Linked DNA regions of Neurospora crassa OR74A. Each later gene encodes a partner of the first gene's protein in a complex. Links are inferred from orthologs where the notes say so. Each region holds a gene or a part of one and is shown on either strand. Other genes may lie near its edges.

What was found.
Region 2: the proteins of NCU02680 (region 1) and NCU06856 are in contact, whole or in part, in a cryo-EM structure (PDB 8DAR), measured with the Saccharomyces cerevisiae proteins. The link is inferred for Neurospora crassa OR74A from reciprocal best matches to the Saccharomyces cerevisiae genes NPL4 and UFD1. Residues at the interface, in NP_009729.1 of Saccharomyces cerevisiae: Gln258, Glu292, Gln293, Asp294, Gly295, Leu296, Thr297, Met298, Phe326, Thr327, Asp328, Ser330, Phe340, Cys341, Lys342, Arg343, His344, Asp346, Ser351, Leu353, Glu354, Met357, Arg360, Ser415, Gly416, Ser417, Thr418, Phe419, Pro420, Tyr424; in NP_011562.1 of Saccharomyces cerevisiae: Val232, Leu233, Gly236, Ser237, Met238, Ser239, Arg241, Tyr244, Ile247, Ala248, Phe285, Asp286, Gly287, Glu288, Pro289, Ala290, Lys291, Leu292, Asp293, Leu294, Glu296, Gly297, Gln298, Leu299, Phe300, Phe301, Gly302, Phe303, Met305, Val306.

What each region holds. Positions count from the first base shown.
Region 1 is NC_026501.1:3,179,269-3,183,685, reverse strand, and holds NCU02680 (nuclear protein localization protein 4), read left to right. Parts: upstream 1-1,338; 5' UTR 1,339-1,682; coding exon 1,683-1,891; intron 1,892-1,967; coding exon 1,968-3,444; intron 3,445-3,499; coding exon 3,500-3,611; intron 3,612-3,681; coding exon 3,682-3,695; 3' UTR 3,696-3,753; coding exon of another isoform or gene 3,754-3,758; 3' UTR 3,759-4,261; downstream 4,262-4,417. Other genes in the region: NCU02681 (translocation protein), read right to left, coding at 1-258, 332-633, 704-809. UniProt on the Saccharomyces cerevisiae protein: Substrate-recruiting cofactor of the CDC48-NPL4-UFD1 segregase. Assists CDC48 in the dislocation of misfolded, polyubiquitinated ERAD substrates that are subsequently delivered to the proteasome for degradation.
Region 2 is NC_026502.1:1,742,308-1,745,988, reverse strand, and holds NCU06856 (ubiquitin fusion degradation protein), read left to right. Parts: upstream 1-1,436; 5' UTR 1,437-1,654; coding exon 1,655-1,657; intron 1,658-1,746; coding exon 1,747-2,892; 3' UTR 2,893-3,175; downstream 3,176-3,681. Other genes in the region: NCU06855 (hypothetical protein), read right to left, coding at 1-891. UniProt on the Saccharomyces cerevisiae protein: Functions at a post-ubiquitation step in the ubiquitin fusion degradation (UFD) pathway. Has a role in the endoplasmic reticulum-associated degradation (ERAD) pathway.

The DNA.
Region 1 (4,417 bases):
CTAGTTCTTGCCCTTCTTGTTCGACGGCGATGAGGTGACTGAGCTGGTGTCCACAGGGGTACCAGTACCAGCCTCATCCCCTTCCAGTTCCTTCATGAACTCGCTTCTAACGGTGGCCCTGCGCTTCTCCCACCACTCCTTTTCTTGTGTTGCCTGAGCCTGGATCTCGTCAAGGCGCTCGCGCAGCACAGTGTTGGCAGCAATCTCGTTGGCGGTTTGGAAGATGCTCTGTCCCCAGTTGGGAGCGAGTGCGTTGGCCTGAAGAATCGGGCATTAGCATTTCTGGCATCCAATCATCCGCACGGGTAACCCTCTTCAAAGGAACACACACCTCCATAACAACATCACGAAGCTCTTCCTCCATTTCCTTCTCGGCACGCTGGAACCTTTGCCACAGATCATCGCCGATGCTTCCACGCTGCAAAAGAGAGCTGCAGGCGGCCTTGGCGGCGCGGATCTGGATAATACGGTGGATGTCTTCGACAGCGCGGCGCAGCAGAGCCGCCCGGAGCACACTTTCAGGAACTTTAGGTGCCTTTTCGGATCCGTTCTCGGGCTCCATGTGGAGGAGTGACAGGTAGACGTTGCGTTGGAGGTGAGGACCGAACCATGGTGCGAGGTTTGCGCTTTGCTCTGGAAGAATCAACATGGTTAGGCTTCTATCCAGAGAAGCATAGAAATTTCTGAGTAGGGGGTTGCATACGGGCTTTCCTCTTGCGGTAGATTGTGGAAAAGGTCATGAAGGTGCCCGTCAGGACAATCAGATAGGCGAAGGGGAGCACAAGCCCCCGCCAGTCGACGCTGAACATGTTTCGGGATGGAGTGTGTGTCAAATTGACGGACGAGAAATGATGTCTGTATTCTCTACTCTGGAAGAAAGCGAGCGACTAGAGTGAACCAAGAGGCGGTAGGTGGCGTGAGGATTGTCGTCGTGCAACTGAAGGTTGCCCGGTGATGGATGCGTTTGCCTTTTGCGGTTGTGTGAGTGATGGACACCGACGGCAATGTAATCGTGCTTCCCTTGGTTATCAAATGCAGTGCCCATGCCTGGAAAGAACACCTTGACAACTGCAACGGTGCAGCGCGGCAGGGGGAGCTTGACAATGGAATTTCGGCCCTTGGCGCGCGCTGGCTTCATCTGAGTGGCAGGGGCCCATGCCGCAAGTGGAAATCGATGCCTGCCGCGACAGCCCCTTTCTGTCACTCCCAAGTCTTTGAGGGGTGCGGGGCATTGCCGGGCCGGCATTGGGCTCTCTCTCTGACGTGGGACCGGGAGTTTCTTGGCTCTTCTGGAAACCCAGCAGGCATGCCTCGATTGCTCAGCACTTCCCAGCACGCCCCAGCACTCCCGCCGCCCAGGCACACGTATGACGAACGCCTGAAACTATCGTACAGCGTTGCGTGGAGCTCCCCGCCCTTCGATCAGGTCCCGTCTGCCGACCAACAATTCACCACCCGTATCCCGTCACCAGTTGTGCCTTTACCCCGAGTCCGAGGACCTGGCGTGACCTTGTAGATTTTGCGCAACAAGAAGCTTTATTCATAGATACCGCCCTACTTCCGACGCCTACGACACATTTTAAATTCAGATTCCGGATTATACTCGCCGAACGACAGGAACAGACCAGATCCGTCGGACCCTTTAACAGCCCAGACGTCACCTTTTTTTCAGCCCGCCCACGATGTTGTTGAGGGTACGCGGTCCCGATGGCATGCTCCGCCTGACATTGGAGAAAGATGACACCTTTGCGGATCTTGGCCGTCAACTCATTCCCAAGCTTCCCCCGACTGTTGACCCGAAAACAATTACATTCTCGAACCATCCGACCGGCAGCGACGCCAAGAATCTCAGCGAGGTCGCAAAGTTCAAGGTCGGCCAGACTGGGCTCAGGCAAGCTGACCCCTTGGAACTCTCGCGCTGATCTTGCGATTTATGTGCCAGACACTAACTAGCGACCTGAAAATAGCCATGGCGATCTTATTTTTGTCACCTACAAGCACAACGATGCGGCGACCGACGGCCCAGGCAACGGCGAAGCCACCAAATCCAGCGTGCTTTCATCCACGAACCGCCTCAACGGCAAACCGATCCTACCTGCAGAAGACTTGCCCATCGACCCGCCTCCGCTGACATCTCCGCATGAACATATCAAGAACCCGTGGGAAACGGTGAGGCAGTCGCCTCTGGACGATCGGCTAGACAAGCGTGACGGAAAGATCCCAAGGGGGCGCGATCATAAGATGTGTCGCCACGGGCCCAAGGGTATGTGCGATTACTGCATGCCCCTTGATCCGTTTAACGCAAAGTATCTCGAGGAAAAGAAAATCAAGTACATGTCAGTACACGCATACCTCCGCAAAATCAACTCTGCGACAAACAAGCCCGAGCTTGGGGCTTCGTTTATCCCCCCGCTTGTCGAACCCTATTACAGAGTCAAGCGGGACTGTCCATCCGGCCATCCTCAATGGCCCGAAGGTATCTGCACAAAATGCCAGCCCAGCGCCATCACTCTCCAGCCCCAGCCATTCAGAATGGTGGACCACGTCGAGTTCGCGACGCCCCAGATCATCGACAAGTTCCTCAATCCCTGGCGTATGACGGGATGTCAACGGCTTGGTATCCTCTACGGCAAATATCTCGAATACGATGTTGTTCCGCTTGGCGTCAAGGCTGTCGTGGAAGCCATCTACGAACCACCGCAGGTTGACGAGATCGACGGTGTTACTCTCAACGCGTGGGAAAACGAGAAGGATGTCAACGAAGTAGCAAGACTATGCGGACTGGAGCCTGTGGGTGTGATCTGGACGGATCTCCTGGACGCTGGCAAGGGTGACGGAAGTGCCATCTGCAAGAGACACAGCGATTCCTACTTCCTCGCGGCTCAGGAGATCTGCTTTGCGGCGAGGCTCCAGGCACAGCACCCAAAGCCTACCAAGTGGAGCGATACAGGCCGGTTCGGCTCCAACTTTGTCACTTGCGTCATCTCTGGCAATGAGCAGGGCGAGATTTCGATCTCGGCCTATCAGATGTCGAACGATGCGGTCGAGATGGTCAGGGCAGACATCATCGAACCTTCCACGGACCCCGGTCAAATGTTGGTGCGCGAAGAGGAGGAGGACGATGGCTCAGTCAGCAGGACGCGATACATCCCCGAGGTGTTCTATCGCAAGATCAACGAGTACGGAGCAAATGTCCAAGAGAATGCAAAGCCCGCATTTCCCGTCGAGTATCTCTTCGTCACCTTGACCCATGGTTTCCCTGAAAGTCCCCGGCCGGTATTCACGAATGACGGCTTCCCTATCGCCAATCGCGAATTTGTCGGAGAAGCCCAGGAAGCCTCATCAGTAGCAAAGATTCTTAAGGTGAACCAAAAGTCCGACCAATTCGACGTTAGCAACTTCCACTTGCTCTGCTTTATCCGGCAGATGAGCGTGCTGTCCAAGGTCAGCTCACCGTATTTCCACTTGGGTCCGACAGAATACTGACTCTTTCTCGTAGGATGAGGAGGCACTCCTTTGCCGCGTAGCAACACAACATGACCTTGCCGACGCCTTCCAACTCCGGGCGACAGAGGGGTGGAGGACCCTGCACATGATCTTGGAATCCACTGGTGAGAGACTTCCCAAGCGCCCCAGAACTGAGGATGCTAGTTTTCCCTCGGTTGACAGATCCTACCTCAGCCACCACCCATTGATGCAAAGGAATCACAACTCGACGGATGAACCACTTGCTAAGCGTTTTGCTGCTGTCAGGCTGAACGAACAACGCCCGCCACCGCCTCCACCTCCCGAATAGGATTCGATGGACGTGGACTGAGGATACGCATGGCTTAATAATGTCACCATCAACTCTGATCACAAGGCACGGAGCTGAGGGATCAGGTCCTTCAACAAAAGGCAACACAGGGTTTGGAGCTTCATCTGCGGCGAAACTTTCATTCTGGACCGACCTCGGCGAAACACATTGAGAACATACAATGGACGCATTGGCGTTGACTTTTGCTGCTTTGATGGAAAATAGACATGAACTGGGCATCAAATAAGACGAAAGGGGTTGAGTAATGGAAAAGATATCCTAGTCTAACAGTGCTGAAGATACTGCTCATGTCGCATTGTGGCTCATGAACATAGTTTCTGTATCAATATGTCATCTACAATTGAGGCGCCAGTGGTTTAGTGGTAAAATCCATCGTTGCCATCGATGGGCCCCGCGTTCGATTCGCGGCTGGCGCATATTGTTTTTCTTTTGCACCCATTGCCAACAGCGCGAGGAGAGTCTTCTCTATTTTTCATTCCTTTTTGGCTCTTTTTTTCCTTCCTCCTCTCTCACGTTTTCCTCGCTTTTTTTTGTTTCTTACTCCTCACACTTTCTGCATCCACTCATCAGTCTTTTTTCTGGTATTTTTTCCAGTCTTTT
Region 2 (3,681 bases), on another chromosome or scaffold:
CTCGCGCTTCTCGTGCGCCAACGCCGCTTTTTTGATTTCCTTTTTGGACAAGCCTTCCAGCCACTTATCGTGCACGGCATTTTGGTCGGCCGCTTTGCGGATGTAGTTGCCCGCCTCGTCAAAGGCACCCTCTTCATTCTCGGCTTGCATGTTGAAGGCGTCAATCTTGGGCGCATGTTTCTTCAGTCCGCCTAGGCCGACCTCTTCGTCTACTCCCTCTTCGGCGATGGCGGCTGCTATGGCTTCTTCGTCGTCGTCGTCTTCGTCTTCGTCGTCCGATTCGGCTGAGGCGGCGGGGTTGATGTTGATGGTTCCGCCAGCTTTGGAAGAGAGGTCTTGCCCTTCGATTTCCGAGTCGGCGAGGAAGTGGACGGATTTTTTGTCCTTCGCAGAGCCACCACCGGCTGTCGTTGGTTGAGCACCGTCGTCGTCTTCCAAATCGCCAAACATGTCTACCTCGTCATCTTCATCGGCATCTTTCCCTGCCCCGTTGGAAGGCTTGTTGTAATTATCCATCATCTCGGCCAGATCCACGTCCTCGGCGTCTTTGCCCTTCTTGCGGCTCTTCCCTCGGGCTTCCGCGCGGTCTTCCAGGTTGTCATTGTCGGAATCGGAATCGTACCCATCGATGTTGACCGCGCCGCGCTTGGTGGCTCGGGAAAGCCCACCGATCACGTCGGCGGCAAGAACCTCCTCGTCAGCTTCGTCGAGGTCGTCATCGTGCGCTGAGGGCGCGAGCGCGGAGGGGTTGCGCACGTCGAACTTGACTTTTTTGTGGGACGGCCCGCTGGAGGTGTCGTCGTCGTCGTTGGAGCGCGATTCGCCGTGGTGGGCGCGGGCGTAAGCTTCGCTGGCGCGTTTGGGGCGCGCGGCGGAGAAGCGGGAGGACATGGTGGTGGCTGTTGTCTTCAATCTCGTGTGTTGGTGTGTAGGCGTTGACGTCAGCGTGTAAAGGTTATGTCGTCTTGATAGAATGGCCTATTCTGCCCCTGTATCGCAGACTTTGTGTAGATATGGCCTGAAATGATGACTGTTTTGCCTGGGTCGACGGCGAATGACAACTCTACAAGTAGAGGATGGTGTTTAAGAGAGGATCTAGATGGCGAATTGGGAATATCAAGGAAGAACATCACTAGAGGTACCTTACCCGTTGTCAGCCCCAACGGATAACATGGAGCTCTCCACTGCCATCAAGGTCCAGAGCGTTCTGCAGTGGACAGGCAGCGCTCAAGGTACCTTTGACCTAAGCGTTTAAGAAGGGGGGGAGCTCGCGCCACGGCAGCACGGTTTCACAGATCTGACGCCACGGCGGCACCTTCTCACCCCGCCAATCCGGGCCGCCGAGGCGGCAGATACATAGAGGTAGGTACTGTACGGTACCCATGCCAGGGCTCCAATTATTACCTAACGTGCCTGTAACTTTCGGGCCCAGTTATGTCATCTGCGTTGTTGCCTTTGGAACCTTCCACGCGGTCAGGTTATTTCAACATCGTCGCAACCTCCCTTTCACTATCGCTTGTCACGCTCTGCTGTTCCGGATCCCACTACCTATTCTGCGAAGCTTACCTCGAGATCTCCCCTCTTAATACAAATTCCCTGTCGTTTCCCTTTCTGCAAAATACTTTACTCCATCTCTAGCAGCTCCCTCGCGATCATGGTAAGCTATCCTTGTCCTCACGCTCGATTATCAAGACAGCTTTTCGACCCCTCTATCTCTTGAAACATTCTAACATGTGCCCATGACAGTATGGAGACATCTACAGTCGCGCCACTGGTCGCTCTCGGGGCGCGCAACGCTTCGATGAGTACTACCGCTGCTACCCCCTTGTCATGGCGCCCGGTGCCGAACGACCTGAACTCAACTACGGCTCCAAGATTCTGCTCCCGCCCTCCGCTCTCGACAAGGTTTCGCGACTACACGTCCAATGGCCCATCATGCTAGAGCTTATCAACGGCTCGCAGGGCACCCACACACACGCCGGTGTTCTGGAGTTCGTGGCTGAGGAGGGCAGGGCCTACATCCCGCAGTGGATGATGCAGACCCTCAAGCTCGACGTGGGCGACATGATTCAGATCAAGACGACATCTCTCGAGCTTGCCAGGCTTGTCAAGCTCCAACCGCAATCGGTCAACTTCCTCGACATCAGCGACCCTCGTGCCGTCCTCGAAAAGGCCTTCCGGAACTTTGCGGCGCTGACCAAGGGCGACGTTTTCAACTTTGAGTACAACGATGAGATCTACGAAATGGCGGTACTGGACGTCAAGCCGGAGACGGCCAAGATGGGTGTCTGCATGATCGAGACAGACGTCAGCGTCGATTTTGCGCCGCCAGTTGGCTACGTCGAGCCTTCGCGACAGACACAAGGCAGTGGTACCAGCACACCACGCAACGGAAGGGCTGTTGGCGGAGGACTTCCGGCGGGTGGTCTTTTGCACAACCAGGGAACCATGGCGCAGGCTATCAACTACGATGCCATCGCACCAGGAGCCACCACCACGTCGGTGGGCAACTTTCAAGGTGAGGGTCTGCGGTTGGCGGCGAAGAAGGGTAGCAAGACGGGAACACCGAAGCCGGCGACGCCGGTGGCGGGTACGTCGACCAACGTTAAGGACGTGGTGCTGCCCAGGAGGAAAAACAACAACGGCCCGTTGCCGTTGCGTCTGCCGCCCAACAAGCTCTTCTTGGGCTACGAGATCAAGCCTGTCAAAACTGCCGCAGATAAGGAGAGGGAGGCGGCGGCGGCGAAGCAGCCGCACTTTGCGGGCCAGGGACAGACGCTCCGGGGAGGAGTCCCGAAGAAGAAGAGCAGCGATGGTGACGACAAGGCGGCGCAAGGCGAGAAGAAGCCGACAGAGAGCAAGGGAAGGCGACTTGACGGCAGGAATGTCTAGGGACAAACTTTCGTTCAACAAGCTTGTTACTAGATGGTTTGATGCATTGTCGGGCGTTAATGGGAAACAGGGTCATGGGAAAGGGAGGTTCACAGTCAAGGGATCACGGAACGTTTGTAGCGTCATTACGAATACACATGGACAGGCCACGATGCGTTTCAAGATAGAAAAGGGCTGTATATGGGATGTTGAGTGCTGAACCGCACGATGTTTACATAGGCCCATGCAGCTGACTAGAATTAGTGAAAAAGGAAATGATACCTCGATGTCCTCCTATAGCTGGAACATGCCAAGGTGATGTTCAACAAGGTCCGCTGGCTCAATGGCAGAGCGTCTGACTACGAATCAGGAGGTTCCAGGTTCGACCCCTGGGTGGATCGAGTTATCTTTTCTTTTGCCAGCATAGTATGCTGCGGCGTCACCAATTTATTTAAAAAAAAAAAAAAAAATTTTAAATTTTTTTTTTCTTTTTGTTCTCTTTTTGATCCCTTGAAATGCCGGAATTTGACTTTGGTGCAAGATGGACATGATACAAAGAGTCCCTGGTTTTTTTTCTTTTTTTTCCTCATTGTGGACGGTGCATCGAGAGCGGCTTGGTCCGTCTTGTCTTTATCTTGAGCAGTCGCTTTGTCAGTGTCATGCCAGGAAGGTCCGGAGTTCTGCCTGCATCCACTTCGAGGTCTCTCCTTCCAGAATTTTGCATCCTTAAAGATTAGTCATATGTCAACGATGCTTGGAACGAATATAGTCGACAACATCAACAGCATGACATTGAGTTCTGATGTTAGT